4 linked regions of the Elephas maximus indicus genome follow. The main gene of each other region encodes a partner of the protein of the gene in region 3 in a complex. Links are inferred from orthologs where the notes say so. Each region holds a gene or a part of one and is shown on either strand. Other genes may lie near its edges.

Region 1 (7,714 bases), about 48 Mb from region 3:
CAGGCAAACTATGTCATATGAAAAGAACCAGATCCAGGGGCCACAGATAACAGTGCTATGTAGACTCTCAGTGGCCAGTGAAGATTTGTTTTACAAGATTGTGTCCATGTTTGGTCAGTAAAGCTAAGGCAGAAGGTGAATGAAAGAACATTACTTTCAAGGCCAAAGGAAGCATTTTTTGTGAAAAGCGTTCTAAATGGGGTAGAAGCACAAAATCCACATAGAACGAGCCAAACATGCCCTTTTTTCCCATCCAGGGATTCTAGTACATAAGTAACCTAATTGCTGCCCTGGCAATTACTGCTGTAAAAAAGCTGCCAATACTAGGAATTCAAACTGTGGTGGCATAGTGGTTAAGAGCTGAGGCTGCTGACCAAAAGATCAGCAGTTCAAATCCACCAGCTGCTCCTTGGAAACCCTATGGGGCAGTTTCTACTCTGTCCTATACTGTCACTATGAGTTGGAATCGATGGCAATGGGGTTTTGTTTTTTTATTCCCTTCCTCTTTCTTTCCTCCTTTTTCTCCTTCCCTTCTTTCGTTTTCCTTTTGAGAGTCCACATGAACCTTAGTTTAAAAAAGACTAGTTCCCAACCTCTTATAATCAAACCTGGCAAGTTAAAAAAATTTTTTTGAATACTTAATTGTTTAATTTATAAAGTCTTCGAAAGGGAAAAAAAAATGCTGTTGCTGTTGAGTTGATTCCGACTCATAGGAAGTTATAGGACAGAGCAGAACTGCCCCATTAGGTTTCCAAGGAGTGGCTGGTAGATCAGAACTGCTGACCTTTTGGTTAGCGGCCCTATCTCTTAACCACTGCTCTACCAGGGATCCAGTAGTATATTTTAGAGAAAATAGATTGAACCCAGAAAAATGACTTTGACTAAGCCATTTATGCTTGTTAGAGGACAGATTCCTCATTAGTGAAGCTGGGCTATCGAACTGCACACTTTTTAGCTGGCTTCCAGCGCTAACACTTCATGGTTCTAGCTTTCTAATTTTTTAAGTACTTTGTGATCTTTCGGATTGGTAGTAGCATATCCACATCAGTAGCTGTGTGTGTATGCTTACTACCAAATGCTAGTAACAAGTCATCATCAATATGGCTGAACTTATGTAAACTTGAACTAGATACATGGTACAATAAATTAAGAAATACTATATTTGAACAGCCTCAAAAACAAGTGTTTACACAAAGTCTGTGATTAAATGTTCTTGGTCCTTAAATTCAAATGACTATTCCACTCATTTAAGAAAAACCTCATGAAAAGAATGGGATTTGAAGGCATTTTAAGATTTTTAGTCTATCCTTAAATGCCCGGAAGAGATTTGTATAATTTACACTGCCATGTTTCCATGGTTTTCCTAGTGAAAAAAGAGAACTTACATGCCTTCCTTGCTACATACTGATTATGAAAACCATATTTCCCTGTCCTTTTGAGAACAGTGAAATTATTTTTTTTTTAAAAAAAGAAAGCAGGAGAGCATTACCAAATCAGATATCCTGGCTATTTAAACTTTACTCATGTAATTATGTATCATCAATTTACTAACTGTGTGGAAATGTGCCTTATTCTTTAAAGTCAGACAAATATCAACAAAAATTCCTGGCTAAATGATTGCAACTTGCCATTCAGGAACTTGGAGTTGAAAGGTATTTTGGGTAAAATATAGAACAAATGATAAATGTCCTAAAAGAACTGTTTAAAAAAAAAAACATTGAATAGAAATATTTACTATGAACATAAACTAAGCAAAACCAAACCCATAACCGTCGAGTGGATTCCAACTCATATCGACACTATAGGACAGAGTAGAACTGCCCCATAGGGCAGCCGAACTCTTAACCACTACACCACCAGGGTTTCCGAACATAAACTAGGTGGAGTATATTCTCAGAGAACCTCTAAAATGAATTCGTGCACCCTGCTAATAAAAATTAAAAGATTCCGAATGAAAATGTACATTTAAGTGACATTTGATCTTACCTGTAATGGTCTCTTAACTCTTAAAATTTGATTAGCTTTGGATTTTGCCACTAAAGAAATATACAAAGAAGAAAATACCATTATAGAATATGATCACCTTGCTCCCTATCTTGTCTGTTTGTACCTACAAAACTCGGACATGAAATCTAATGTATAAGTTTTGATGTCCTCAATCTTTCTCTCATAATTAAAAGGAAGGAAGAAGATTGATGTTTTAATTGATATGCAAAGGCAATATTGCATTGCCTATTCCCTCAAACACAGCTTGTTTCAGTTGAGAATTTCCAAAGCGTGACATAAACCACAACAGTGCCATTTTAGGCAAAACTGCACAACTGTGCTATTGAAAGTCCGGTATTAAATGCAAAAAGAGGTGTGCCAAAGAGATGAGTCCTTAGAGTGGTGGAGTCCTACATTTTACATGTCATTAGAATATTTCGTAGTAAATTTCAACATGTTCTTCCTATTCTCTGAGATTTCTTACCTCCAGGAGGGATGTAGAAACAGTTGAGTTGAGCTTCATGGACCAAGGTGCCCTTAAACTTCATCTCTGTCTCGGCCGACAGGTGACTGGCAAGCGGCTGGTACGCAGGCTTAGCAGACTGGATAAAGGCTCGAAACATTGTAAATTTCCAGTTGTGTACTAATAACTACGTTGAGTTTTTAAAATAAGTATCCTGCTCGTGCACTTATCTCGTAATTTTTTAAAACCCAGAAATCATTCCTGTAGGTAACATCTCAGTGCTACAGGGGTTTACACAGCTATGTTACATAGCTGCAAACTTAGGTTACAGCAATTTTTGTCAGTTTTAGCTTTCTAAAAACTACACCTTCTTTCTTGGTTCTTTCAACCTTGTCTTTTTCCCGTGCTGTGCTTACTGCCTACGTAGGCGCAGGCCTCTCCCCCACTGGCTTTACGGGAAAACATGGATTGAAATGTGAAGTTAATGGTTTCTGTCAGCCTGTCAGCTCATCACCTCGCTGAGGCATGGTGATCTCTGGTTTTTATATATCACCACGAGGTGCTCTGATATGCCCTCTTGTGTGGAAGAGTGATAGGTTTGGCCAGGGGTTGGGAGACCTTGGGCCTAAGAGGCAGAAAACTTCAGTTGGAATGTGCACTTCAATGTAATTCACTGCCTCTTTTTCAGTGGAATGCAGCTTAAGTGGCCAAACTATTTCAGGGAGAGAAAAATTAGGCCCAGTCCTACATTTTATCTCGGTGCCACCTTTCAAGATCCAGGAGTCTTGGTAAATCTGTTCGTTTGCTCTTTTTTTATTCCCCCCGCCCCTTGGGTATTTAAATTTTAGGTTCAAACTAAATATTATCTGGGACGAAAAGAGCTATTTCAAAAGGATCTCCTTTTAATCTTAAAGCCATGATGCTTTAGAGATAAATCGTCCTGTCCTAAAGAAGTCTCCTCAATGTGTTTCTAGAAACCCAGTCCTTCCTTCATTCTGCTTTGACATTTGAAAGATGTTTCCATAGCATTTCCCTTCCTGAATCTGCATTTCAGTTCCTCATGGTTATGACAATGTCAGACTGCTTTGCTATTTGTATCAACACTTTCCTTGGCATCCTCCCCTTATGAAAACTTAGTTCCTTATGTCAGATGCCACAAATGTGTAATACCATAAAAATTACACCCAAAATATTTCTATTAATATATTCTACTGATGAGACACCAATGGCTGGCTTTTCCTCTGCCTTTGTGTTCCTGGGCCTCGGGTTCCTAAGTTATGCCAGGTTTTTCTTCCGTGCTACCACCCTTCTCCTTTGACAGTTTCGGAAAATTCAGACTCCAGTGAAAGAAGATGTTCATGGTAGCCAAAAAATAGACCAGGCTTCTAGTTTTGTGATAAGATTAAAGCCACCAAAATATACAAACGTATTCACATTTTTAAGTGATTGAATGTCAATGATCCAATCCAAATTTACTTACAAGACCTCGAGGCTGGGTAAGTTAGGGTGCAGGAACACTGTGTGGGAATCAGAGTAGGGAATTAGTGTTGATGGACTGGGGACAACCTTGAAGTAAAGTTTTGAGAGACACATTGAATGATCTTGAGATGAAAGAATTCCTTTTTGATATCAAGGCTCATAGCATTAAGCTTCAGAACTCAGATGTTCTTTTTTTCAAAAGATTGTTAATGTACTAAGGAGAAATATGTGTCTGTATTTCTGTCTAAGAGGATAAAATGATCCTGTTCAAGAAAGAGCTGGAGGGGGGGGTCACTTTTTTCCCCTCTTCTCACGTGGGTAGGTAAGATAAAGATTCCAGGTACACTGATAATACAAAAACAAAGTAAAAAACCCATTTCCGCCTTTTGGCACGTTTACTAATAAGTTTAGATTCATGGAATTCCTTTTTTTAAGATGTCTGCTTAAAATAGCACTAGATAAAAACATTTCCTCTATCTTTTGATATCTGAATCATTACTGACAAGAAGCAGAAATTCCATACCTAGGCATTGATCAGGTAAGTGGGGAAAAAGCTGTGGTTAAAATATCACAGTTCTTTAAATGGCCAAATAATATTCCTATAATTAAATGCTTTGAAAGTTTAATGTTTTTTTCCCTTTAAAAGTTTTTTTTTTGGCCAGTTTTTATTGGATCATCATAATATTGCAACTATTTTCAATGACAGTTTGAAAATGTATACATAGCTAATTCATTATTAACGTGATTAATACCACCAGATCCTCAACTAGATACATATCGATGTATTTTGGAATTGTTTCAGCCTTTGGTATAAAACTGATGTAGATGGGCACATAATAAAGTATATAACTTAACTGAAAATTGTGAAATGAATCAATAGCAGCTATATTAGACCATGTTTTTCTTTCATTACTAAATGGTTAAATCATAGTCGTATCTAATCCTTCAACAGTTGTAAATTTTCTGACATGTTGAAGTCAGAACTTATTATTAAATTTTATTTTTGCCAGAACTCTATTCTAACTCACAGCTTACAAAGCCAATTTCCAGTTAACATATTCCTGGGGCGAAGGAGCGGTTTCTAGGCATAATTTGTGCATCAGATTCCTGAATCCTTATGAATAAAGATAAAACATTTCTTAAATGTGTACATGGAGTATAGAAATGATATTCCAAAGCCAGGAAGTTCAGAAATTCTGATTTCATTTTCAGTCTGTATTCATTCATTTAAGAAGCATTTGCCAAATGCCTGTTGTGTTCAAGTGCTAAATTTTTAAGGAAAACACACTTTATTGGATGCACGTATCCGTGTGTGTGTGTGTGTGTGTGTATCTATGTGTTAAGACCGCTACAGATTTCTTTGTGGGTTTAAAAATTTCAGTGCTAGATTACCAAGCTTTAACTCCAGTGATTGTTTTCATTTATACAATAAGTATACATTTAAAGTATTAAGAAGCAAAGATGTCACTTTAAGGAGTAAGGTGCGCCTGACCCAAACGATGGTGTTTACAGTCGCCTCATATGTATGCAAAAGCTGAGCAATGAATAAGGAAGACCGAAGAAGAATTGACACCTTTAAATTGTGTATTGACAAAGAATACTGAATATACCATGGACTGTCAGAAGAACGAACAAATCTGTCTTGGAAGAAGTACAGCCAAAATGCTCTTTGGAAGCGAGGATGGCAAGACTTCATCTCATTTACTTTGGACATGTTATCAGGGATCAATCCCTGGAGAATGGCAGCATGGTTGGTAAAGTAGAGGGTCAGCGAAAAAGAGGAAGACCCTCAACAAGATGGATTGACATAGTGGCTGCAACAATGGGCTCAAGCATAACAGTGATCATGAGGGTGGGGCAGGACCTGGCAGTGTTTGGTTCTCTTGTACATAGGGTCCCTATGAGTCAGAACTGGCTTGACGGCATCTAACAACAACAGCCTTCATTTCTCTTCAGAATGGAAAAGGTAATTTGTTTCTACTTTTTAGTTTTGAAGATGCTCATGAGTTGCTTGATGTGTTCTTTTGCAGTGTCCATTTATGGAATTTGGTTTTATGATAAGGAAGAATGCCAAAGAATTGCAGAGCTTATGAAAAAGTAAGAGCTGAAAGGTTAAGTATTTTTCAGGACCTGGTGCTTTTGTTTGTATTTCTAAATGTATGCAACTATACCATAATTTAAATAGAATACATCTCTTACTGAAATTCTTTTTCACAGTGGTCCAGGAAACACTTAATATTACTTAATAAGTTAAAAACAGACATAAGGGACTTGCTTCACTTTCCTTAGTGAAGATTTATCATCTAGAATGACTCAATTCACTTTTTCTGCCAGTGTGAAATATATGTAATGTGTGTTCTTCCAAATGGCAGTTTTCCTTAACATTTTCCACATTTGTAAATTAGCAATTTTTTGTTTTTAAAAATAAGTTTTCAATACGTTTATCAGTAAAGAGAGCATTCAGAGCCATATCTAAAAGGCTGGTTCGGATTGTCTCAAATCTTTTATTTCCTTCCTGCTCTAAATGCTTATCCATGCCATTTAGCTGCATATCCGTGTTTTAGAAGCTCACAATTTTCTCATTTGCCTCAAACACTGTGGTTACATAGGATAGTCTTTATTTTCAATTTCTTTGGAAATTTCTGAGTTAATACAGTCTTTCTTATTACTATCCTCTTTTTGTCTTAATCTCATGAGACCTTATGATTTGTCCCCTTCTGCATTTTGGGAAACTTGAATCCCTGTTCTGACTTTCCTACTCTCTTTGCTTCCCTGATGGCTTTGAAAGGAGGACCCAGCCTGGTGTTTCCTCTGTGACTGGTCAGCTATTTGATCAGTCCTTGAGCCCCCAGGGCTGCTCACTGGAAGCAGCCATTGCTCTGCTATTTATGGGGATGGGTAAGAAAGAGCCTGAGAATTAAGTGATTTTCCTACATGTGTTTTTTCTCAGCCTGTGACTGGACTCAGCTGAGCACAGAGCTGCTGCCCACACTGATGTGACAAAGCACCTCCAGCTACAAAAGAACCAGCTTCCAGTCTTAAGTCCCAGGGCAATGAAATGACTAAATAGTGACCCCAAGGCAATGAAAAATGGGGGGCACTTTTTTTTTAATAAATGGGCATAGATTCCTGAAAATCTAGCTTGTGTCAGCTAATTGTAAGTAACTAGCTCAAGTTGCAGCTGGTGATTAAGTGCGTTCAAACTGATATTTACCACCATAACAACTAGTTTCTTGAACATTCATGTTATCGTAAACTGTGCGATGGATTATAACAGCAGGATTTCATATAGATTAAAAAGTACCTTGTAGCTCAGCCAAGAGGCCATGTTAAAATTATCACCATTCTGCAGTAATTACTTAACAGCTGGGGCAGGACACTGTTCACCAGCAATAAGCTGATTTGCGTGGATCAGACCCCTTCGCCGGTTAGAATAAAATCTCAGTTAACTTCTCAGAGCTTTTTTTTTTTTTTTTTTACCATAAATGTAATGGCAATAATAAATGAATTTGAATGGAAAGTCAAAGCACACAAAGGCAAAAAGTATTTTTCTCAGCATCACCCAGCAGCAGATAGGCACAGTCTGAGCTCCCTTCTGCATGGTTTTCAGGACAATACAGGACACTCATTGCTCTAAGTGCTTTAATGCTTCCTCCTCTCAGAATTAGTATGGAATCTTCACTGTGTTTTTAAACTGCCAGAGACCAACAGGATTTGAGTTGCTGAGCTCACCCTTGCTTTGACTTCAAAGCACTCTGGAATGAGGGGAAAAAAAAAATCTTGTTT
Region 2 (7,390 bases), on a different chromosome or scaffold from region 3:
CCAGAGGCTCCAGCCCCTCCCAGGAAGGTCTTGGTTTCCCAAACAGTCATGAGCTTCTCAAGGGCAGGGGGTGTGTCTCCCTTGCTGCATGTGGGCCTAAGCCACACCCCCGACTCAGGTGTCCAGAGCCTTCTGTGCACCGAAGGCATCTGGGGAGTCCTGGATAAACAGCGCTCAAGTGGTCAGAAAACACTTGGGTTGCGGGGAGATGTGGAACCTGAAAGAGGAAAGGAAGGAGTCCCTAGGTGGTGCAAATGGTAAAACACTTGACTACCAGCCGAAAGGTTGGCAGTTCAAACCCACCCAGAGGTGCCTTGGAAAAGAGGCCTGGAGATCTGATTCCAAAAGTTCACAACCTTGAAAACTGTATGGAGCAGCTGTACTCTGCACACTTCGGTCACCATGAGTCAGAATCGACTCGATGTCAACTAACAGCAATAACAACAATGAGACATAACAGGTAAAGGCAATGCATGATATTGGATTGGATCCTGGACCAGGAAGAGGAGAGGAGCTGAACCAGAGAAAACAGGATAAAGCAGGACCAGGGTACTAGTGAGCATCAACATTTGGGGAGCAGAGCTGGAAAGAGCCCCCCAAGTTCCCACAACGCCATGTGCCACAGCCGTTTGAGGTCAGCCCATGTCTTACTTTGCCGAGTATCATACTCTGCACTTTATTAAATACTCTTTGACTCTTGAGCTTCCCCACAGACACCTGCCCGCCTCCTTAAGAAGCTCTGGAAAGCTGGGGTGGGGGATAGGTGACATGCAGCTCTGGGACCCCCTTGGCAGAGGGCTACTGTTGGCTCTCGAGATGAAAATGAGGCAGGGAGCCTGTTGGCAGAGGAGGGTCCAAGTTGAGCGGTGGAGGCAGGAGATGAAGTGGCGGCATAGGGAGGTTTGGACGAGTGGAGTAGTGCCTTGCTTTTTTATAGCATTTTAAGATTAAACATCAAGGCTGTTCCTCAGTCTAATTAAGCCTGAGCTCAAAATTAGATCATCACATTACCAAACAGTGTTTCTCTGGCTCTCACCCAGGCATGCCCTGGCCCTGGTTTAGACCAAATCCTCCTCCAGGAGATGTTTCCCTTCCCCTAGTTAAGGTCTGGAAACCCTGGTGGTGTAGTGGTTAAGTGCTATGGCTGCTAAGCAAAAGGTCAGCAGTTCAAATCCTCCAGGAGCTCCTTGGAACTCTCTGGGGCAGTTCTACTCTGTCCTATAGGGTCACTATAAGTCGGAATCAACTTGAGGGCAACGCGTTTTTTTTGTTTGTTAGTTAAGGTCTGATGCTTCTTGGGAGAACAGCCGTCATTTAGGACAAATGAGCAAAATACAGATGACTCCCAATTAGCTGACCATGGCATATCCTCTTTGAAGATTATCTATAGACGATGTTAGATGTCAGGAGGATATTCCCTTTTTCTTTCCTTTTTTAGGATTTTGGTCCCTTTTTTTCTTTTTCAACCATCACTATTTATATCCAAAGCTTTTTCATTACCCAAGCAGAAACTCCGTGCCTGTTAAGCAATGAAATCAGTTGTCCTTGAGTCAGCTCTGACTCATGGCGACCCCATGTGTGTCACAGCAGAATGGTGCTCCATCTGGTTTTCAATAGTTGATTTTCTGGGAAGTAGATTGCCACGCCTTTCTTCCAAGGTGACTCTGGGTGGACTCCAACCTCCCACCTTTCAGTTAGCAGCTGAGCATGTTAACCATTTGCACTGCCCAGGGACTCCTATTAGCAATACTCCTCATTAATCTGCTTTCTGTCTCTGCATTTGCCTATCCTAGCTATTTCGTACAAGTGGGATCACACAATATTTTTGGATGCTTCCTTTTAAACTTGGCATCACAGAGGACAATTGTGTGCTCCTAAGATACCTCTCAGAACCTCGAAACAAATTAGCTTATTGGCCCAAGTGGTCCCAGGTCTGCCCCAGTTGGCATTTCTTATGTCCCTGTTGTCTGAAAGCCACATAGAAATGTCCTTTGGATCACTTGCTGGAGAAAATTATTTGTGCTTCTGTCCTTCCCTTTCAGTCTGTCCATCCATCTATCCGTCCATCCGTCCATCCATCTAACAATTGCTCAACAAGCATTTTTGAAAGTCTCACTCTGTGCTCAGATCCAGGCTGGGCTCTAGAAGGGACCCAGAATGAGTTCATAACAGTCTCACCATCCCTACTCTCCAGAAGCTCATAGCTCATTAGAGAAAACTGATCCATCTGTAGTCTATCAGTAATAATACTAATGATAAAAGCCATTCTGGATAGATGATCTACCACAGACTAAACTGGTAATGTGCCTTATCACTAAGCCTTATACCGGCCCCAGGCCTCAGGTCCCGGGGGAGAATATTGAGTCTCCCAGCCCCCCTACCCCATTCCACCAATGCCAGTGGCCAGTGGGCCCCTTTGCTGGCCCTGCTGGGGAAGCCAAGCAGGCAGCCCACAGCGGCCTCTGTGGGCAGCATAGACAGCTGTGCCGAGAGCCACACAGTATGAGGAGTTTTAGTTAACGGGGAAGAGAAGGAAGACTTGCCTGACATCCCTGGGGCTGCCAGCCCTTTGGTGAGATTCACACAAAGACGACTTCAAAAAGAAAGGTCACCAATCTTGAATGCTTTCGTGCCTGGGTGGAGGACTGAGGGCTTCTGCAGGCAGCACAGACTTGCTGCTCCCTGTGCTGACCTTGCGGAGTCCTGGCCTCTGTGACAGCTGCAATGCTGTGGCTCCACGGAGAGGGCGCTGTTCTAGGCCGGTTCCAAGACCTTCAGCACTCCCAGCAGCTGAGAGCTTCAGGCGCCCACCCACCACGCCAGGGAGGTCAGACTATATTTTCATTTCCTCAAATGACACCACAATTACTTGTATGTAAAACTACGATAGTTTCTTTCTAGGTATTCTGCCTTAAAACTCCAGAACTTTCTTCTTGATCCTTGGCTGCTGCTTGCTGTGGGTCTGCTGCCCAGTTCGTCTGCCTCAGGCCACCCAGCACCCCTGCCCAAGAACCACCTGGCCTGGCTGACTCTGCCTGGGGTTTCCTGAGGCTAGGACCACACAAGTGGTGTGAATGGGCTCAGAGGCTGTGTGCCATGTCCACGCTTCCTAGTGTTCCCCAAGGAGAGGGCCCACCTGCTGGAGACAGTCACCCCTGAGGTAAAGCAGAGACATCGACCCACAAGTCAATCACTGAGTCAGCCAATTGTGACGAATTAGCTCCCGCTGGGAACATTGAAGTCCCTGGGTGGTGTAAACAGGTAATGTGCTCGGCTGCTACCTGAAAGACTGGAGATTCACTCCACCCAGAGGCACCTCAGAAGAAAGGCCTGGTGATATTCCCAGGCCTTTCTTCTGATTGCCAGGCCTTTCTTCCAAAGTGCCTCTGGGTGGACACAAACTGCCAAGCTTTCAGTTAGCAGCCCAGCGCATCAACAATTTGCATCATCCAAAGACTCCAGCCTCCTATTGGTCACCTGTGAATCAACCTACTTCTGTTCTTTTTTCTTAAATACAATTATTTTGTAAAAGGGAACATAGCTGGAAAGTCATTCTTACCTGGCATTAATAGAAGATAAAACTAAAAACAGTGAGAACAGGCCTGAGTCACAGCCAGCTCTGCAGTCTGAGGCCTCCCAGGCCATGTGCCCTTTGCCTAGAAGGGTGGTTTGCAAGCGTCAAGGAGGAATTAAGCACTTCCTGACCCTAACATGAGCTTTGGAAAGAGAACTGAGAAGGAAATAACCTCACTCAGGAGCTGGTGATGCCAGGCCCGGGAACCACATAAATCATCCCGAGATCTGGGAAATGTGGTGGTCTCAGGAGTATGGCCCTTGCCTGGGCCCTGGGTGGGGGATTCCGGGGGTCCCCTAGACAGGGTCCTAAGTCCCCCAGACTCACAGGATGAGGACCTACTCACCATACCTTGGTCACCACCCCTTGCAATGAGAGACTCAGGAAGGCCCCCCAGAGTCCTCTGCCCTCATCCAGAGCAGGCAGATACCCATGCCCTGCCACACCCCTGCCGGACCCTGGCACCCTGAGCGCCGTCCCATAGAGGTCTCAAGTCAGCATCCAGAGCCTCCTCTCCCTGCCCCGCCCTCAGGTATTTCTGGCTCCCCGAGGGGAAGAACGCCCTGAAATCTGAGCAGACACCATCGTGGTGACACACTGGGAGATGGGCATTAATAGCAGCCTCCCTCAGGCCCCTGACACGTCTGGGCAGCTGCTCAACCCCATCCCTCAGTCCCAAGGCCGGCCCATTCTGGCTCGACTGGGCACACTAAACTTAGCTCCGACCCCCAACTCGATACCCGCTGCCACCCCTGCCCAGCTGCCACCTGCCCTGAGAGCTGTGGCTGCTGCGTCCTGCCCAAGGACCCCACCATGTCCCAGACCAAAACCCTGAAGGTCCGTGTGACCCTCTTCTTCATCCTGGTAGGTGTTGTGCTGGCCATGGTGGCTGTGGTGACCGACCACTGGGCCGTGCTCAGCCCCCATTTGGCTCACCAGAACAGTACCTGTGAGATGGCCCACTTCGGCCTCTGGCGGATTTGTACCAAACGCATCGTCCTGGGTGACAGCAAGGACAAGAGCTGCAGAACCATCACCCTGTCCGGGGGTAACGTACCCATTCCCTGTCCCTGCACCCACTTCCTACCCTTCCCTGTCCCCCCATCTCTGGAAATGAGGGCAGGTTTCTCTGGCTCAGAACAGCGCAGGGACAAGACTCTGAATTGCATGTGGTTGTGCTGACAGCCAGAGCCGGTTGTGAAATGAGGGCACTTGTCTCCAGCTATTTCTGTCTTGCTGAGGCTTGGGGCTTTTCACCCAGAGACAAGGGCTGGACAGGTAGGACAAGAGGCTCCAGAAAGAAACTGCAGATCTAACAGTCTAGGGGCTTCTGCTCCTAGCAGTGGTCGAGCCTCTGGGCTTGCCCGGCCCGCAGTTCTCCTGTGATGACGGGCAGGCCAGTGGCTCTGCGTTCCCAGGCTGAAGGGCCAGCAGCTTCATTCATAGGCCTCCTGGCAGGAGCATACATAGGACCAGCTACAGAAGTTCTGGAGTCCTTGGGTGGTGCAAAGGGTTATGCACTGGCTGCTAACTGAAAGGTTGGAGGTTCAAATCCACCCAGAGACACCTCGATCTTCTTCTGAAAAATCAGCCATTGAAAACTCTATGGAGCACACACACACACACACACACACACACAAGAAAATCCTATGGAGCACAGTTCTACTCCACCCATGGGGCCACCATGAGTCGGAATCAATTCCACAGCAACTGGTCTTGAAGTCTTTGGGTGGTTCAAATGGCTAACACGCTCAGCTGCTAATTGGAAGGTTGGAGGTTTCAGCCCACCCAGAGATGCCAATCTACTTCCAAAAACTTGGCCATTGAAAACCCTATGGAGCACAGTTATACTCTGACACAAATGGAGGAGCCATGGGTGGGAATCAACTGATGGCAATACAAAAATTTCCAGGCACAGTGCAAAATGAAAACACCAGGGCTCTTTGTTAAATTTTTTTTAAATTTCAAGACAGTAACAGCAGTGCATTAAACCAAGTGTAGAGGCCTTCCAAGCGTGGGGTCTAGGGCGGCTGGCCTGTGAAGCCAGTCATGCCTGTCGCTAAGTGTCTGCCTTCCCCTCAGACCACGGCCCTGCTGCACAGCTCCGCCAGCTCAAACCTCTTCCCGGATAGAATGCATTGGCTTCCACTGTCCTTTACACATATGCCTCGATTTCCCAACACCAGGCTGAACCAAGCACTGAAGGTGAGTTCCTTGTCCAGAACACCTGGCCTTGGGTGGACCAGTCTCGATTCTGCACATGTGGAACCAACTATATTCACAGCCAGTAGACCACACACCTAAGGAGCACTGTGTGGAGCGTGGGAGGCCTGGGCTCGGGTCACACGCTGCCCACGAGCCCCCTAGATGACCACAGGGGAGGACAAAGCCCCTCTCAGCCTCTGATTCATCCTCTGCAAGGTACAGACTTGGGTTCAGCTCCCAAAGGTCCTGTCCAGTCCCCACAAATGTCCCTCCAAGATGGCAGCGGTCCGTCGTATGTGTGGCACCCACCCCTGGTTGCAGAATTATTTCCTCTGTTGTCAGACAGCTGTCCCTTGAGACCTGCCCTTCAGGAGCATCCATGCTGCATGCCCTGAAATCCTGCAGCCTCGCCCCAGCCTCATGCTTCCCTCTCTGCTCCGGCCTCTCTTCCCCTCCTGCTTCCTCCAGGAATCCCTGTGCTCACCCACCCTCTCCCAGGATGCCTGGAAGACTCAAATACCCAGCTGTCTTGGAAAAACAGAGTCCCAGGGCTGAGGGCCTTGACAGGCGTGGGCATGTGTTAGAAGGATATCACATAGCCAGAAGCCCACGCCCCTTGGCCACTGCCAAGCACGCCAGACAGATGCGTCATCCAGCTGGCTCCCCTGGGACAGGCCAGGCAGGGCATGGTGGGTCAGCCTATCCAGCAACCACATGTGGGGACATCCCATCCCCAGTTCTGCTCCCTGACCTGAGAGGCGCCTGCCTTTTAAAGCCTGGTGAGTTCACAAAGCAGATGAACAGGAGGTGAGCATGGTTCACACAAGGGAGAGACCTAGGAAGAGGCAACAAGACCAGCCTTGCGGGACTGGCAGGCTCAGCTGGGCCTTGAGTCTGAGCAGAGTCCACCTCTTCGCCTTCTTGCCCCAGTGCAGCTGGGAGCCAGACACCCACACTGTGCTGCTGAGTGCCACCTTCCCCCCAACAAGCTTCCAAAGCATGTTTCTGCTGCTTCTCTCTCCTTTCTCTGCAAGCCCATGTCTTTTTCCTTCCCCACCTGCCCTTCCCACACTCCCTGGGACAACTCTTTTCTGGAGGGAGGAAGAGGATTCATACATGTTCTCTCATGTATTATTAACAACAGCAGCAGCGTCAATAATAACGAATGCAAATGTAGGCTGTTAGTACATGCTTTATGTATGGTAACTTGGGGGTGATAGCAGGAAAAATGGCAGTGGAAGGACCTCCCCGAATCCTTACTGCCGTAGAAGCAATGAGAACACTGGCACAAATGGTCAGGATCAACATTTTCAGAACTCTGGAAAGGGATCAAAGTCTTGCAGCAATCTAAAACCTGTTGCCTTCAAGTCAATTCCGACTCATAGCAACTCTATAGGATGGAGTAGAACTGCCCTATAGAGTTTCCATGGAGTGCCTAGTGGATTCGAACTGCTGACCTTTTGGTTAGCAGCCATAGCTCTTAACCACTATGCCACCAGGGTTTCCTGCAGCAGCAATCTAGGGATTATTTAATTCAAGAAAAATGGCTGAATCTCAATAAGAACAGCATGCTTTGTGGTGTTTTAACTTGTCCTATTCCTGTTTACCACC
Region 3 (6,977 bases):
GGAGTAGAGGCAGAGGGAAGAAGGGGGATACCACGACACGAGGGAGGCAGGAAGGCGTGGGGGAGGGGCGGCAGACGGGGCGGGGCTCCAGGTGAGAGGGCGGTGTGCCTGGGCTCGGCAAACCCGGCAACGGTGCTGGGAAGAAATGGGTTTGGCAAAACCGGCCTAATATAACTCCTGCCCCAACAGGTGTTCTGCCCTGTCAATCCTGACACGCAGCAGCAAAGGGCCCTGCTACCCAACCGGTGTGAACGGGGTTGGTTTCGAAGAGCTGGCTTAGGCCGCCCCCACGCCTATATCAGGCAGATTTCATCCTAGTCGCCGGGATGGGGGTTCCCTTTCTCACTTCCCTGCCAAGGACACATTGCCAAGGCATCTGTGGGAACTGGGGCAGGGAAGGCCGTCTTAGGCGAGCCTAAAGGGAGAAGGAAAGAAACCAGAGGGTGGAGATAGGGGGATCATTGTAGGTGGGACAGAAGTTGGCACCCTGGCCACACAGGGGTTGGGAGGGGGAAAGGAGAAGTCTCCCGAGTCACTGGTGTGAGGCCAGGTTCTCTTCTTAGCAAAAGGATGGGGATGGTGGGTATCTAGGTTTGAACCACAGGTACTGCTCTACACCGGTCTCCTTCAAAGAAGTGTGGAGATTTGAGATAAAAGGCAGAGCAGCAGCCCAATTCTTAAGGGAACTTCACCAAAGATCCCCCATTTGAGCTCCCTTTTTTCAATCTCTTGAGCAAATTAGTCTTTTGAATTCTGATTGCTTACCTGCCTCCTCCCTTTCCCCCTCCCATGGGGATGTGAGGTAGACAGGGAGTTACCCTTGGAGAGAGGCCTCCAGCCTCCTAGTGCCTGGACTCTTGTTCCTGAGCTCAGTCCTTCTCCACCCACAGTTTCTCACACCCAGGAGGGTGCACTCAGGAATCTGCTTCATGAGGCCAGTTATGAGGATGGAATAAGAAAATGGGTTGGAGAGCTTCAGTAAGCAAAAAATAATCCCTGCCCAATTGTAGGGGGTTATTGCTTCAATAACCACTGTGTGATGCTTTGTCCCGTTTATGGCGCGTTGAAGGGCAATGAAGAGTCCAGGACAGAGGAGAGATTAGCAGGAAGGGGGATGTGGTATAGTGACTAAAACATGTTTCAAAGTCAAGACACCTGAATATTAGTTTTGGCTCTGCCACTAATAAGGTGTGTGATCACAGTCAACTCATTTAACATCTCTGAGACTGTTTCCCTGTCTTTAAAAGAAGTTGGGCTAGACTTCCTAGGGGCCTTTTTAGCCTTGAAACTTGGAGTCTATGAGACCAGACACCAAATATTCCTGACCCATCTCTGCTCACTCATTTATTCCTTCCACAAACATTTATGGAGCACCTGCTGTTAAGTAATTCCTAGTCCCTCTTTGTCCTAGCTTGAGGGTTAAAGGGGAATCAGTTTGATGAGATCTGTGGTAGAAGGCACTGTGCATGAGAGAGACAAAGACCACTCAAACCAAACCCCTTCCCACCTGTCACTTGTTCTCGTTCCCTTGACAAGGACTGGAGAGAGGAATGGCTTTGTTTTAAGATTATCTTTAGTCTGCCCTTAGTCTGTCTACCCCTGTGAATGGTCCAGCCCAGCTGAACCCCTATGGCTGAGGGGACAAGTCACTATTGGGGGAGGCATTCTGCTTTCACAATTCCTTCTCCAAAGTCCAGCACCATTTGGGGGTTGGTTATACTGGATTCTTCTGGATTGGCATCCAGAGACACTCTGCCTTCTTTCTTTTGTGCCTTTCCCAGTTGCTCATCATTCCTTGTACACTCCTCTTTCATTCTGCCTCTTTAATTCCTTCTGTCCTTCCAGAAGGGCAGAGAGAAGGCATGAGATGTGAAAAAAATAAGACCCTCAAGGTGGAAGTTGATTCTGCTGAGACAGTTGCTTTTCTTCCCATCCCTGAATCTACTCCCCTGGCCTCTTCTTTTGGGGACCTCCCAACCCCTAGGTGGTCCTGGGGACTATTAGGTAACAGTGGCTCTGCCATCAGCAGCACTTCTTCCTCACCTACCTTGTCTTCATCCCTGTCTGGGACTATGGTGCCTAAGTCTGCTCATGAGGCATGAGTTGCCATGCCAGCTACCCCCAGGAGATGGATTCAAGCTCCTCATACCTGGGCCTATCCCCTGGGTCCTTCAGGAGCTGCAGAGCCTTCCTCCCTCCTTCCCATATTTCTGAGTTGCTATCCAATGCTCCCGTCCATTTTTCACCTCACCCACATCTGCCTGCTCCAGTTTTCATGCCAACCTAGTGACTTCTTGTCCTGTAGCAGGACATGTGCCTTCAGTATCCATGTGGTTCCAAATCCCTTTTCTTTCCCATGGTTGGGCATAAGGAAAGAGAGCTGAGGGCAAGAAAGATCAAGGTCCAGAGCTACCTTGGGGAGAAGATGCCTCCTGCCTGACTCTGCCTAGAAGAGAGCTGTTGGCTTGGTAGCAGGTGGGTACCCAGGCATTGGAGGACAGCAGGGACAAAGTCCAAATAATCAGTTTTGGGAGTTGGAGTTCTTAGAGCCTCCAAAATACATTCTACCTTTTTCTCTGCATGCATCAGGAAGCTGGGCAGATCCCAGTCCCAGAGCATTGAATGGGGAAACTGAGGCAGGAGCTAGAACCTCTGGGAAGAACTGCTTCCCAGAAGTCTCCAAGGTCTGGGTGGAGGCCCCTAGCATTCCGGCTGCTAGGCTGTCCCTAGGGAACTCAGGGAGGCATCAGGAGAGCTTGGCACTGTCCTGCCCTCTCCATCCTCTAATCTAGCCCCTTCTGCAGCTCCCCAGTAAGTCCTCCCCACCTATCCCAGTTCCAGGGTTTAGGAGCTGGCAGATTCTGTTGCTCCCTCTTCACTTACAAGGTGCTTCCTCCACCCTGGCCTCCTCCCTACTTCCCTATAGCTGCAATCTCCCTGAAATGCCAGCTCTCTTCCTAGCTTGGAGTGGGTTTTCTCTCCCACCAGCTGGGGAGGGACCGCCCCCCTCCACCCGTTACCCCGTTACCTCGTTCAGCAGGAAGGTTGCACTGGAGTCAGAAAAAGACATAGACCAGGCTATCGGCCCTTGCCCCTCCCCCGGGCCCGGGGCTCCGAGGCGGGAGCAGGACCCGGCCGCTGCTCCGCACAATCGCTCCCGCCTGCACGCCTGGCCTCGCCCAGCGCCCGCCGAGCTCCACCGCCGCTCCCCTCCCTCTCTTTGCGTTCCCTCCCCTTCCCTCCTCCCTCCCTTGCTTTCTCTCCTCCTTTCAGTTTCTCTCGCTCTCTCTTCGGATCAGTCAGTCCAGCCTCTCTCCACCTCCGCCTCTTCTTCCTCCCGTCTCCGATCCCTGAGCTGTTTATCTCGGCACCTCCCACTGTCCTTCCAGCCCCTCTCTCGGCCTCCCTCCCCGTTTTCCCTTCCCCCTCCACTTCTTCAACTCCCTTCCTAGAAAGGGTACGAACTCCGGAGCGCCCACCGCAGCAGGCAGAGGGGCTCAAAGGCTGCCCCAACTCCTGAGCTTAAGGCGGAAGGTTCTGTTCCCTCTGCCCCCGCTCCAGACGCCGGGCGCCCATCCTCTGTCCCCCGAAGAAACGCACCGAGGCTTGGACTGCGACCTCAGTGGAGGAAGGGACCGAAAGGAAGAATGCTCAAGTGCCAAGGTGCCCCCTCCGGGTACCGGGGAAGCCACGTCCATCCACCCCTGCCAGGCCCGGACCTGTGGCTCTGCGGTGTCCATCTGGAGACAGCCCAGACGGGATGTGCCCTGCCTGCTCCGGGGAGTCTCTTCTGTCCCCCCTTCTCTCTCGGTGAAGGGGAAGGGCGAAACGAGGCAGCTCCTCTCCGACCGATTGTAGCGCCCCCTGGGTTCGCTCGCCCGGTGGCAGCACACGCCCTCCAGGTGGCGGCAGCCGCCCAGGGTCCCATCTCTTGCCCGGCAGGGGCTCGGCCCTGCCAGCAGGAGGCGTTTTTCTGGCCGGAACAGAGAAGGTGCTGACCGGAGTCAGACCCCGCCGTAGCCTAGGACGAACTCTTCATTCTCTTCTTTTTCGAAAAACTGAGGTCCCACCTCTAAATTCCCGGTAGGGACCCCAGGCGGCACTCTTTTTATCCCCACCCCCGTGCAGGCTCGTTTGAGACACACTCCCCACAGGCCCCCAGACCGCTCCTACCTCCATGCTCGTCTCACGGGCCTCCCCAGCTGAGCTGAGCAGTGTTCCAGCCAGGACTGGGCAGCGGGGCGTGCAGAGCCTCGGGACTGCTTCTCGGGTCAGTACCCCCCTCCCGCCCCTTAGGCGGGCACGTCAAACAGGACAAGCCCAAGTTCTGGCGGGGGAAGGGGGGGAGGAAGGGTGTAGCACCAGCTGGCTATTTCCCTGCACCCTTCAGAGCGAACCTGGCTCTCATTGGTCCCTCCACACACCCCCAGCGCCCCCAGGCTGACCCCCTCTTCTTCATACCAAAGACCGCTTTCAGAGACAGATGGATGCACCCTGGGACTGAATGACCGGGGCCTCAACTTCCACCAACTAGAACTCTTCCCTTTCAGATCGAGGAAGCCCTCACTGTCGTTGCCTACTCCTCCTTTAACCCACTTCCTCTGGGGGTTCTGGAACCCTTTCCCTCAATACCACCATCCCCTGGGGATCTCAGCACACTGACCCTTTCTTTCTACTAGGCTGATCCTCCACCCGCCACCACTCCAGAGGGAGGTAAGTTGGGGGAGAATCAATTCTTTTCTCTCCACCTCCAGCTCCTCTTCAGGCTGAATCTAACCTGGAAGGTGTTTTGGGAGGCCACCTGCTCCCCTCCCTCTGTGGTCCAGTCCAATTGTTCCATGGATCCCCCACCACCGCCCTACCCCCCCCCCAAGTTACTCACCTTCAGCTATTCAAAGGAGATAAGGAGGTTGTGTGTGTGCCTTAAAAGTGTGTGGAGGTTTTTACGGTTTGTTTTTGTTTTTTGACCCTAACTGAGGGAGCAGAAGCTTTGCCTTTCATTTGGCAATAAGCTGGAGGGAGAGAGGCTGCTCCTTCCCGCACCCCTGCTGACCACAGCTAATGGACTATCTCCTCTGGGCCTTAGGGCAGCTTAAGTTTCCATAGGAGAAGGGGGTTGCTGGCCAAGGCAAGTAATTGTCCCTGGGTGCCCCCTTTCTCACCCCTTCTCTTCTTCTACTCTCTCTCCCTGAACTTGCAGCCTACAACATCATCTCGACACCCCTTACTTTAAAATAGAAATATCAATTACTTCTCCCTGAGCCTATCAGAGCGAATCTGAAGTGCATGGGGCGGTTCTGCACCCTTCGCTTTTTCTCATTTCCACCCCAGCTGCTGGACTACATGCTGCTCCTTTCTGCAATGGAGAGAAGGTAGGAACCTCAGAGCTAGAGCCGGGAATCCAGCCCCAAAGGCCCCAGAACTGCTTTCTCCCGGGCCCTCTGTATGAGGTGACAGGGCAGGATTCTCTCCCTTTGGGCCTTGTCCAGGACCCACAGCCTCTTTCTTCCCACTCAAGTGCCTTCAGGCCCCCCATTTCTGGTCTGATCTCACAGTATCTGGGCAGGCACCCTGCTAAGAGGAGCCTGTGGCATGGATACACTCCACGCAGCCATGCCCTGGCTTGGGCCATTCAGGTTCTTGGCTCCAGCATACAGGTCCCCAGGGCTTTGTAGGCCCCCTTCATTCCTTCTCCCGGGGCTCAGCTCACTCTCTCCTCTGACCTACCATACTCCCAGGTTATCAAGACCTCAGAATATAGCCCTTTTGCACATTTTAAAAAGAGGCCCTCTCCCGGCAAATGCAGATCTGCACCAGGGATTTGGCTGACCCGTCTAGGGTTGGATTTCAGCCTGTACAATTGTACTTGGTGGCCCTGACATTGGAAAATCTGTGCACCATGAGCACAGAGAGCAAAGTTCATGATGCTCATCCCTTTATATTCTACTCAGACCAAAGGAGGTGCCTACCCCTTCTCTTCTGAGAAGGCTCTGCTGAAGTAGCTTCCACAGGGAATCCCATTGCCAACTCCAGATATTACTCTGAGGAAGTTCCTCTGACATGAAACCTCAATCTCTCCTGCTGCAACCTCTGCCTTCTTTTTCTGGGCTCCACCTCTGAGCTCATGGTGTTATTCGATGCTTCTAGGCACTTTCAGGCTCCATCCCCTGACACAGCATTTGCTATAAGTATATCTGAAGAGTTTCTTGCTGATCTGCCCAGCAAGATTGCACCCTCCTTCTCACATCAGGCCTCTTTGGAGGGACTGGGGAGTCAGCTATGGCTTCAAGACTCAACTCTTGTCTACTCTGGGCCAGGTAGTGTGATCGCTGTGTGGATTTTGAGGTTCTTCCTGGTATCTGGGAAGGTGAGAGGATCAAGATGCTTGGCTCTCACTCTCTTGCTGCCCATAGTCTGGCTTGGCGTGGCGCACAGTAGGTGTTTGATATATGCTCATTCTTAGTCTTAGAGCTGAGCTTCCCCTCTGGGTCTAGTGCATGTGATGAGTGATTCCAGTTCCATAAAATGGGTTGGAGTGAGGAATGAGGCTGGAACATGAGGGGAACTCTAGGGTTAGAGGAAGGTGTGTTAGAGGCAGGATCTGCAGGATAGCTGGGGGAAGGGGGCTGGCCTTACTTCGCAGCTTTCTCTCACAATAGAGGTAAAGAACCTGTTTTGCCAAACTCCTAACACTTTAGGACTCTGAATCACAACACTGTTCAAGGGGTCCATTAAAGTGGGTCCTCCATTCCCGCATACTTGCAAGCTTTGTAAACATCAGAGGTTACCCTGGGAAGATAGGCCTGAAAAGGGATGGGGTGGTGTGGGGGAGTCCCTGGAAGGAGTCCTGAGATGTTTGACTCAGATTACAGCCCTGGAGGGGTGGGAGCCCTTTGGAGAAAGAGTTCCCCAGTGTGGGGGCAGCTGAAACCTCCCAGGGCTTCCGCAAACCTGGGACAGAGGGCAGGTGGGCATCC
Region 4 (7,466 bases), about 13 Mb from region 3:
AGCTGATTGGCTATTTTCTAGTCCCCATGCCCCAGGATTAGGGGGTATGAGGGTTGCAGGTACTGGCTGGCATTCTAACAATAAGTCACATACAAGTGACATCAATTTAGACACTTTTCTTCAAGGGCTGTCATGGCTTCCCAGTTTCCCACACCCAATAGTCAGAGGCCCAGACTCACCCCTCTTTGCCGAGTCTCTGCTGGGAAGGAGGGCTTAGGGGACTCCAGCACCTCCTTTTCTGTCATCCTGCAAGAGGTTGGACCCCACTATGAAATCTAATCCCTAACTGCCATTCTTCTCTCCCTTATTCCTGTCCCTTGCAGTAGGATGGTCCTTGAAGGCGAGGCCTTGGGAGAAATTTGGTTAAATTCACAGGGTTTATGAACAAAAACTGCCACGGAGGTCCAGAGAAAAGCCAGGGAAACCAAAGAGCTTCTCAACTGAAACCAATACCCATCCTTCTACCTTGAGAGGCAACCCAAGTTTACAGCCCTAACAGTGTTCAAGGCTGCGTGGTTTGGGGATTTTTCTACGGGCACTTTGTTTCTTCTGTGAGGCTGTGGGCAAGAGAGATGTGACTTGATTTCCCAGATTCTCTCTCTTCAAGAGGTTTAAGGTGTGTGTCCAAGTGCATGCATAGAGTAATGGGCTGGGGACACTATCCCTATCTCCTTTTTGAGCCCTGGGGGCCTCTTGCCTAGTTCTATCCCAGCCTGCCTCAGGCCTCAGCTATTTTAAGTTTTCAGAGTAATATGAGCCTTTCCTTCCCTTACTACTCCATTCCGTTGACCTCACCCCACCCGCCCTCCAATCCTAGCTCTAGTTCTGGAGTGTAATAATAATAATTCCTCATAAACTACTCATAGACAAGGGGAGAAATGAAGCTGAACAGACTAAGGATTGGTGAAGCTGGGGTGAGTAGTCCTCGAAATGGAAAGAAGATGAAGAGGTAACTTACATTTGGGGATTCCCTAAGCCAGTCCACAGTTTGGGGATGGAAGAAGGATCCCCTGGGGCCTTGGTAGTAGTGCTGGGGGAGGATCGGTCTTCTTCCCTGGGGGCTGAGCCCCCCCAGTACCCTCCCCGTACTCACACCGGCTACCCAGACGGTATTTGTAGACCTCCTAGCCTCTCTCCTTGGTGTCAGAGCTGAAATGACAAGGCTGGAGGAAAGTGGACAGCTGAATAACACAGCTGACACAGAGAAATTAGACACGAGGAGGTCTGGGGCAGGGCTGGACCCTAACCCCTCCCATCCCCCAGAGCTACTGTTCCCTGACTGTCTATGGTGAGCAGGCCAGTACTGGCTAAATTCAGGGATTGAGGGGCTGTTTCTGTTCATGCTACACACCCACTTGAGGGGATTTTAGGTGACTGAAGGTGAAGTCGAGATGAATTACTGACAGGATTCTCCAATCCATTTCCCAAGGTCCAAACACCTCCCCAATTCTATTCTTCTCAAGGGCCTACTTTAGGAAATACAGACTTCAATTTCTCAGCCTAACTCTAAACCTTTAGGAAGGAAAGGGCTGAGAACTGGGAAAGAGAAGATCATTTGACTCCTCAGAGCTCTCCTATCAGCTAGACTAGACTGCTTTCTTATTCATAGGTAGTTGGTGGGTACCCTGCTCTATCCTGTAAGGGAGTGAAGAATCTGTAGTACTGCTTTGTTCCCTCCAGCTGCACCCAGAGACTTTTTTTTTTTTTGTAATTAAAACTGTGTCCTCAGGATACAGGGAACCTTACCAAAATACCCAAACCAAACCCATCATCATCGAGTTAATTCTGACTCACAGCGACCCTATAAGACAGAGCAGAACTGCCTCACGGGGTTTCCAAGGAGCAGCTGGTGAATTCGAACTCTTGGCCTTTTGGTTAGCAGCTGAGCTCTTAACCACTGTGCCACCAGGGTTCCAAAGGGAACCTTAAGGGCTCTAAAAAAGACAGGCTAAGACTTCCATCTGAGGGGCACCAAGGGAGTGCAGGACTGACAACCAGGTAGGGATGGTCTAGTTAACAGTGGACAGAAGGCTCTAGCTGCACACAGGAAGTTTTGATCATCTGTAAATAACACCCCCTTTCCCCTGAGAAACTCCTGGGGGTAGAATGGGCATGTCTCACACTTCCTACTAAATCAATTTGACTCCTTGGTTCCATTTGCCTCCTCTGATACCCCAGTATCTGAACTGATGGGCCAATGAGTTAGCTAGCATTTGTATCTCACAAGGATGTGGCCTTCTCCTATTCTTTGGGCTGTGACATGGCTGGAAGAAGAGACACTCCCACCTCAGAGGAGAAAAATTTACAGGTGGCAATGTAGTGCTGCATTATCCCTTGTATCTGTAAGAAATAGAGGATTAGGTTGGAGGTAGGGTCAGACAAGCTTCAGAGGAGCCTGCCTAGAGATACTGCTACCCAAGAGATTTCCAGGGCAATGTACTCTGCCATTTCCACCCACTGCTCTTTTTTCTCTCTCTCAGGGGTGGGTGGCTGCTACTGGTTCTGCGGCTACAAGCTCTGTAATCGCCCTGGCCTGACTGGCCGTGGAACAACAGCGCCAACTCTGAGAAGCCCCAGATACAGGAAAGGCTCCATCTTGCAGAAGGAATTACATCTGCTCTTCTTCTTTCTTCAGATGCATAGAGATGGCTGAGCACAACTGGATAACAGAGCATCCTGGCACTGCAAGTTCAGCTGATACAGCTTTTATTACAAGAAGCATCCATTTCTGTAGGACCCAATCCTCTAGACGTAGGATTAAAGAAAAACTCAAGTACTCCATCCCTAAAGGGGTTTTCAGAAGATTAGATAGGACAGGATATGAGGCCAACATCTGAAGCCAGTACTGGGCCGAACACCCTGCTGCCCTGCCCCAGCTCAGCCATGAGGGCCTTAAATGATATTACAGAATTAACAGGCCGGAAGGAAACTCAGAGGTCACCTTGTCAGTCCAAGTCTCTTATTTTACTAATAAGGACACACAGTGGTCTGGAGTTGAGTTGGGAGAGCCCAGAATCAAGGCTCCATTAGAAACCCAGCCATGGGCAGGGAGAAGGGCGGGGGTGGGAGGGGGAGGAACAGTCTTAGGAAGACATATGTGCATATGTTTAGGGACAGCCACCCGAACCCACATCAAACAGCTGTGGGGCTCTACTTACCCAGGACCTCCAACCCCTACCCACACCAGGACGGCAAGAGAAAAACGGGGACTGACGTCCAGTAACAGAAGATTTTTTTTATATTTAAAAACCAAACCAACCTCCCCTCAAGTAACCCCCAAACAAAAAAACCAGATTAAATAAAATTTACAGTGAATATACCCAGCAAACATCTGTATGTGCAATTAAATACTGTGTCTGTTACTGCGGCACGAACCTCAAACAAACAATATACAAGTGTTCCGGGAGTGGGAGGAGGTCCAAGTTTTAACTCTGTGGGGTTTGTGGAGACAAGATAGGGGGAATGAAAGGAAGGGGAAATCAATTTCGTTTTTCTTAATTCTGTCCATATAAATATACTCATAAAGACCAAAAAAGAAAATGGAGCTTGGGATGTTAAGGAAATAGGAGAACAGGGGAGTGTGGGATCCTCCTAATTCTACCTGGCCAAAAAACATGAAAGAAATTAATTTCATGGTGGGAGAAGAGATAAAAAAAATGATAGAAGAGGATGGGAAGGAGAGGGAAGCAGAGAGGAGCCAACCAAGGAAAAAGGACCATGGCAGGGGAGTCCAGTGCCAGTGTATCTTTTTCCATCTTTGTCCCTATAGTCTTAGGCTCCAGTTTAGCATGTTTCCCTACTTTGTGCCTCTGTCCATGGTCTGTCAGAATCCCTCGACCCCCTCCACCCTGACCCCACCCCTACTGTGCTGGTCCCTTCCCCTTCTCCGCTCATTGGGAGCTGGCTCGCTCCAGGATCCTCAGGTCATAGTTCTTTTTGGCCACTCGAAGTTTGAAGCGACTCACGGAGTTGTTGAGACGAAGGGAGGCATTTTGGGCAGCCAGCGGGCTCGGGAACACAGCCACGATGGTGTACAAGGCAGCGAGGTCCGCGTGGCGGCCATTCTCAGCAGTCCCACCGTTATCCCCCCCGCCCCCGCTGGGCAGCCCCTGAGCATCCTTGAGCCACTGGATCTTGGCGCCAGACATGGCCAGCTGAGTGAAGAGTTTGTCCGCCTCAGTACGGGTGATGCCCTCAGGGAGATCTGTCACCTCCAGCACCCGCCCTAGGACTGGAAGGGGAGGAGAGAGGACATAGCTGTGAGACACAAGTTAGTCACCTGGCAGAGAGTATTCAGCTAACCGAATCCGAATACCATGTCCTCAAAAGTCCAGCCTTTCCCACTTAGTTCTTTCCTCCCCTTTCCCCAAATCGACACAATTCCCCACCATTTAGACTCTGATCAGTGCCACCAGGAGAAAACGATGAACTTTTTCTCCTAGCCCAGAGATGTAGGCTGGGAATCAGAATTCCAGACTTATGATCTGGGGTCTTCTTCAGCTCTCTCACAGGGTACTGATACTGTGAAAGTTAAATGTGGTTTTTACTTGTGTTCTTTAACAAAGTCAATGAGGCAATCTGATACATGTTCCATAGTTCCCTTTCTACTCTGGCTGGCCCAAATAGATTCTTCCTTCTTATCATTTACGAAAGTCAGTTTCCCTTCCTTCTCTTGTTTAGCAAACTGCTTCCAAAAGAGAGATCTTATATGCCTAGTATGGAAGACCTGTAGGAGGAGAATTACTCTCCCATACCCTCTATCAATCTTCTCCTTAATTGGGTATAGGGCTACCAAAAGTAGAGGTCCTAGATTAGGATCAGGACTGCTCTCAGAAGACTCCTGGCTAGTTACAGTCTCAGTGGCCCCATCGGTGTGTTCTTCTCAATTTTTACCACTATGTTCCCCAGGACCTGGGATTACTTGGTAAGGGGAACTGAGACACCTTACTTCTCCTTGTTCTTGAACACAAAAGGTTCCCATTTCCACTCCCCATCCTAAGCTGGGTTTCCTACCCGCCCAGGGCTGCTGATGCAGGGTTGAGGGTGGGGTGGGGTGGGGTGGGGATGGGCATGGGCATCTTCTCAGGGGATTCAGCATCCTATCACTCACCAACATCTGCTGTCCCCAGGTCAGTAGAGGCAGATTTGAGTGCTTGTCTCTTGCCCCGGTTTCCATGCTTCAATCCACTCTGTCCCTTCAACATTCAAAAGATAATTTTCACTTCAGGTAAACAACATCGACTGCCTTCTATCCCCATGTCTGCCTGAGAGATTGAGCAGTCATCAGCACCCAGCCCTGATGGCCCCACCCCACCAGGCAGTCAGACTGGCCAGGTTAGGCCCACTGGGAAGCAAAGAGCCCTTCCCTCTTGGCACTGGAATGAGTGACAAGAATGAGTACGGGAGTAGGGTAAGGCCCTTTAGCCCCTCCCATTTTGTCCATTCTCTCTGTTGGGTCACTTGTCTACCAAGCTGGTTGAGGCAGGTGGCTCAGACATAGTGTCCAAATGAGAAGGTGGGTCTGACGGCCCTAAGGCTGAGTGGGAGGGGATGGTGGACACTCTTACCTGGTGCACTGTGTAAGTCGACTGGCCATGGAGCAAGGGAGGGCAGATGGACAGATTGTACTGTAATGGCTGGCCCAGGAGGGAGTAGCGCCCATCACCTGGGGAGTAAGAGCAAGTGATTTTCTAGGAGTTTGAGCTTCACGGTATAAATTTTATGAGACTTCAGGGGGTTTGGGAGATGGACAGCAACAATGCATACTATTCCTACCTCTTCTATGATGGTAGTGTATATGTGACTAATTTAAGAGTTGTTTCTCTTCCTAAACCCCTTGGATCTCACAGACAAATGGGACTATTGGGTTCCCTTACCCTTGAAGAAAGCCTCTGCCTATGGTAGACAAAAGGCCCTGTTGAAATGATCAGGCAGGAAACCTACAGACCCTTACACATACGTTTTATCTCTTAACTAGATTCTCCCCACCTCTAAACCCAGGGCTCAAATTTCTGACTCACATGAGGGGTAATAAAATATAGTGAAAAACAGCAGAGACTTGGAGCCAGGCTGCTTAGGTTCATATCCTGGCTCTGTTACTGGTAATGTGATGTTGGACAGTTTTCCCTCATTAGTGTTGTTGGGAAGGTCAAACAAATACATATAAGCACTTACAGCAATGTCTGGCACATATTAAGCACCATAAGCATTAGCTATTATTATTGATAAAATTACATTTCAAAGCACTTTTAAGTTTTCAAGCCATATTCTCATCTTGTTTTTAGATTGCTTGTGATAGCCAAGACAGAAGGCAGGTAAGATTATTCCCAAAAATTACATGTAAGATTTATATGTAATTAACCCCATGTTATGGATTAGGAAACTGAGATTTGGTTCCAAGTACTTTGCTCAATATTGCAAAATTAGTGAATGGCAGAACTAGAACCTGAACTCAATCTCTTTTAACCCAAATCTAGTGTTCCCTCTTCTAAAACCATACTGGTTCCACTTTCCCAGCCCTCAGACTCAGCACTGATGGGTTAAACTCTTTTCATTCATAAGAAGGTTCCGTGAACTTCTTTTCCCTGGCTCATAGTCACCAACTCTACTTGACGGTGAATACCCTGGAGTAAGTTAACTAGGAGCAGCACTAGAGAACGGTGGGTGTCCTTACGGTGGGTGTCCTTAGTCTGAATAGGAATGTTAATTTCCTGAAGTTTCCTGAATGGAAAGGAAAAGTTAGCTCCCAGAATTGGACCAGCCACACTGATTCCCTGCCTCTTACTACCCTCCAGTTCTCCCCACTTAGGAGTGGGATGTGAAGGGTGAATTCTACAGCAGTTAGCCCTAATCTAACCCCTTACCCTGTGCTGCACCCCCGGGCCGGGGGAACTGTGTAAGGACAGGCAGGGGACTGAGTCCTGTGCAGACGCTGCTGAGGCTGGTGACAGGAGAGGGTGCTGGGGACTGGGTAGGAGATGTGACAGGGCTGCTGCTCATCTGTGTGGTGGCCTGTGGAAGAGAAGAGTGCATGTCACATAAACACCAAGTATTAGCCTCTATGGCTTAGCTTAAAACTCACATCCCTCAGGAAATAAATCTATCTGGTGAAGTGAGACTGCTCCTTCAAACTGCCCCCTTAGTTCCTTGACAAACAACTTGTATTATTTTAATGCCTAATTTTTCACACACTGTTTTAAGTATTCTCTGAGCAATTTCAGGTGTGTGTCCTATCTGGCACCTTAGGTCTTAGATTTCCTGAAAGAGGATGCATGCTTGTATTTCTTGTGTTTCTCCTGCAAAAGTGCCCAGGGAAAGACATGTAAAGTGGCTGCTCAGTCAATGGCAAAGACTGCTCCCTGGGAAGAATCCTTGCCTAGATGGGGCGGGGCTGCAGGACTCACCTGGGGACTACTTTCAGGATTGTACAGGTCTCCAGGCTTCTGCCCCCGCTGGTCTACACTGTA

What was found.
Region 1: CACNB3 (region 3) and CACNA1C share a complex: the UniProt entries of both Homo sapiens proteins name them as parts of the calcium channel complex. The link is inferred for Elephas maximus indicus from reciprocal best matches to the Homo sapiens genes CACNB3 and CACNA1C.
Region 2: CACNB3 (region 3) and CACNG1 share a complex: the UniProt entries of both Homo sapiens proteins name them as parts of the calcium channel complex. The link is inferred for Elephas maximus indicus from reciprocal best matches to the Homo sapiens genes CACNB3 and CACNG1.
Region 4: CACNB3 (region 3) and STAC3 share a complex: the UniProt entries of both Homo sapiens proteins name them as parts of the calcium channel complex. The link is inferred for Elephas maximus indicus from reciprocal best matches to the Homo sapiens genes CACNB3 and STAC3.

What each region holds. Positions count from the first base shown.
Region 1 is NC_064822.1:56,718,664-56,726,377, forward strand, and holds the start of CACNA1C (voltage-dependent L-type calcium channel subunit alpha-1C), read right to left. Parts: upstream 3,020-7,714; 5' UTR 2,610-3,019; coding exon 2,471-2,609; intron 1-2,470. Other genes in the region: DCP1B (mRNA-decapping enzyme 1B), read left to right, coding at 5,959-6,025. UniProt on the Homo sapiens protein: Pore-forming, alpha-1C subunit of the voltage-gated calcium channel that gives rise to L-type calcium currents. Mediates influx of calcium ions into the cytoplasm, and thereby triggers calcium release from the sarcoplasm.
Region 2 is NC_064837.1:56,870,750-56,878,139, reverse strand, and holds the start of CACNG1 (voltage-dependent calcium channel gamma-1 subunit), read left to right. Parts: upstream 1-4,387; coding exon 4,388-4,622; intron 4,623-7,390. UniProt on the Homo sapiens protein: Regulatory subunit of the voltage-gated calcium channel that gives rise to L-type calcium currents in skeletal muscle. Regulates channel inactivation kinetics.
Region 3 is NC_064822.1:104,257,330-104,264,306, reverse strand, and holds the start of CACNB3 (voltage-dependent L-type calcium channel subunit beta-3), read right to left. Parts: upstream 3,017-6,977; 5' UTR 1-3,016. UniProt on the Homo sapiens protein: Regulatory subunit of the voltage-gated calcium channel that gives rise to L-type calcium currents. Increases CACNA1B peak calcium current and shifts the voltage dependencies of channel activation and inactivation.
Region 4 is NC_064822.1:117,173,996-117,181,461, forward strand, and holds the start of STAC3 (SH3 and cysteine-rich domain-containing protein 3), read right to left. Parts: upstream 3,012-7,466; 5' UTR 246-3,011; coding exon of another isoform or gene 180-245; 5' UTR 1-179. Other genes in the region: R3HDM2 (R3H domain-containing protein 2), read right to left, coding at 3,891-4,231, 5,111-5,195, 5,568-5,665, 6,864-7,011, 7,404-7,466. UniProt on the Homo sapiens protein: Required for normal excitation-contraction coupling in skeletal muscle and for normal muscle contraction in response to membrane depolarization. Required for normal Ca(2+) release from the sarcplasmic reticulum, which ultimately leads to muscle contraction.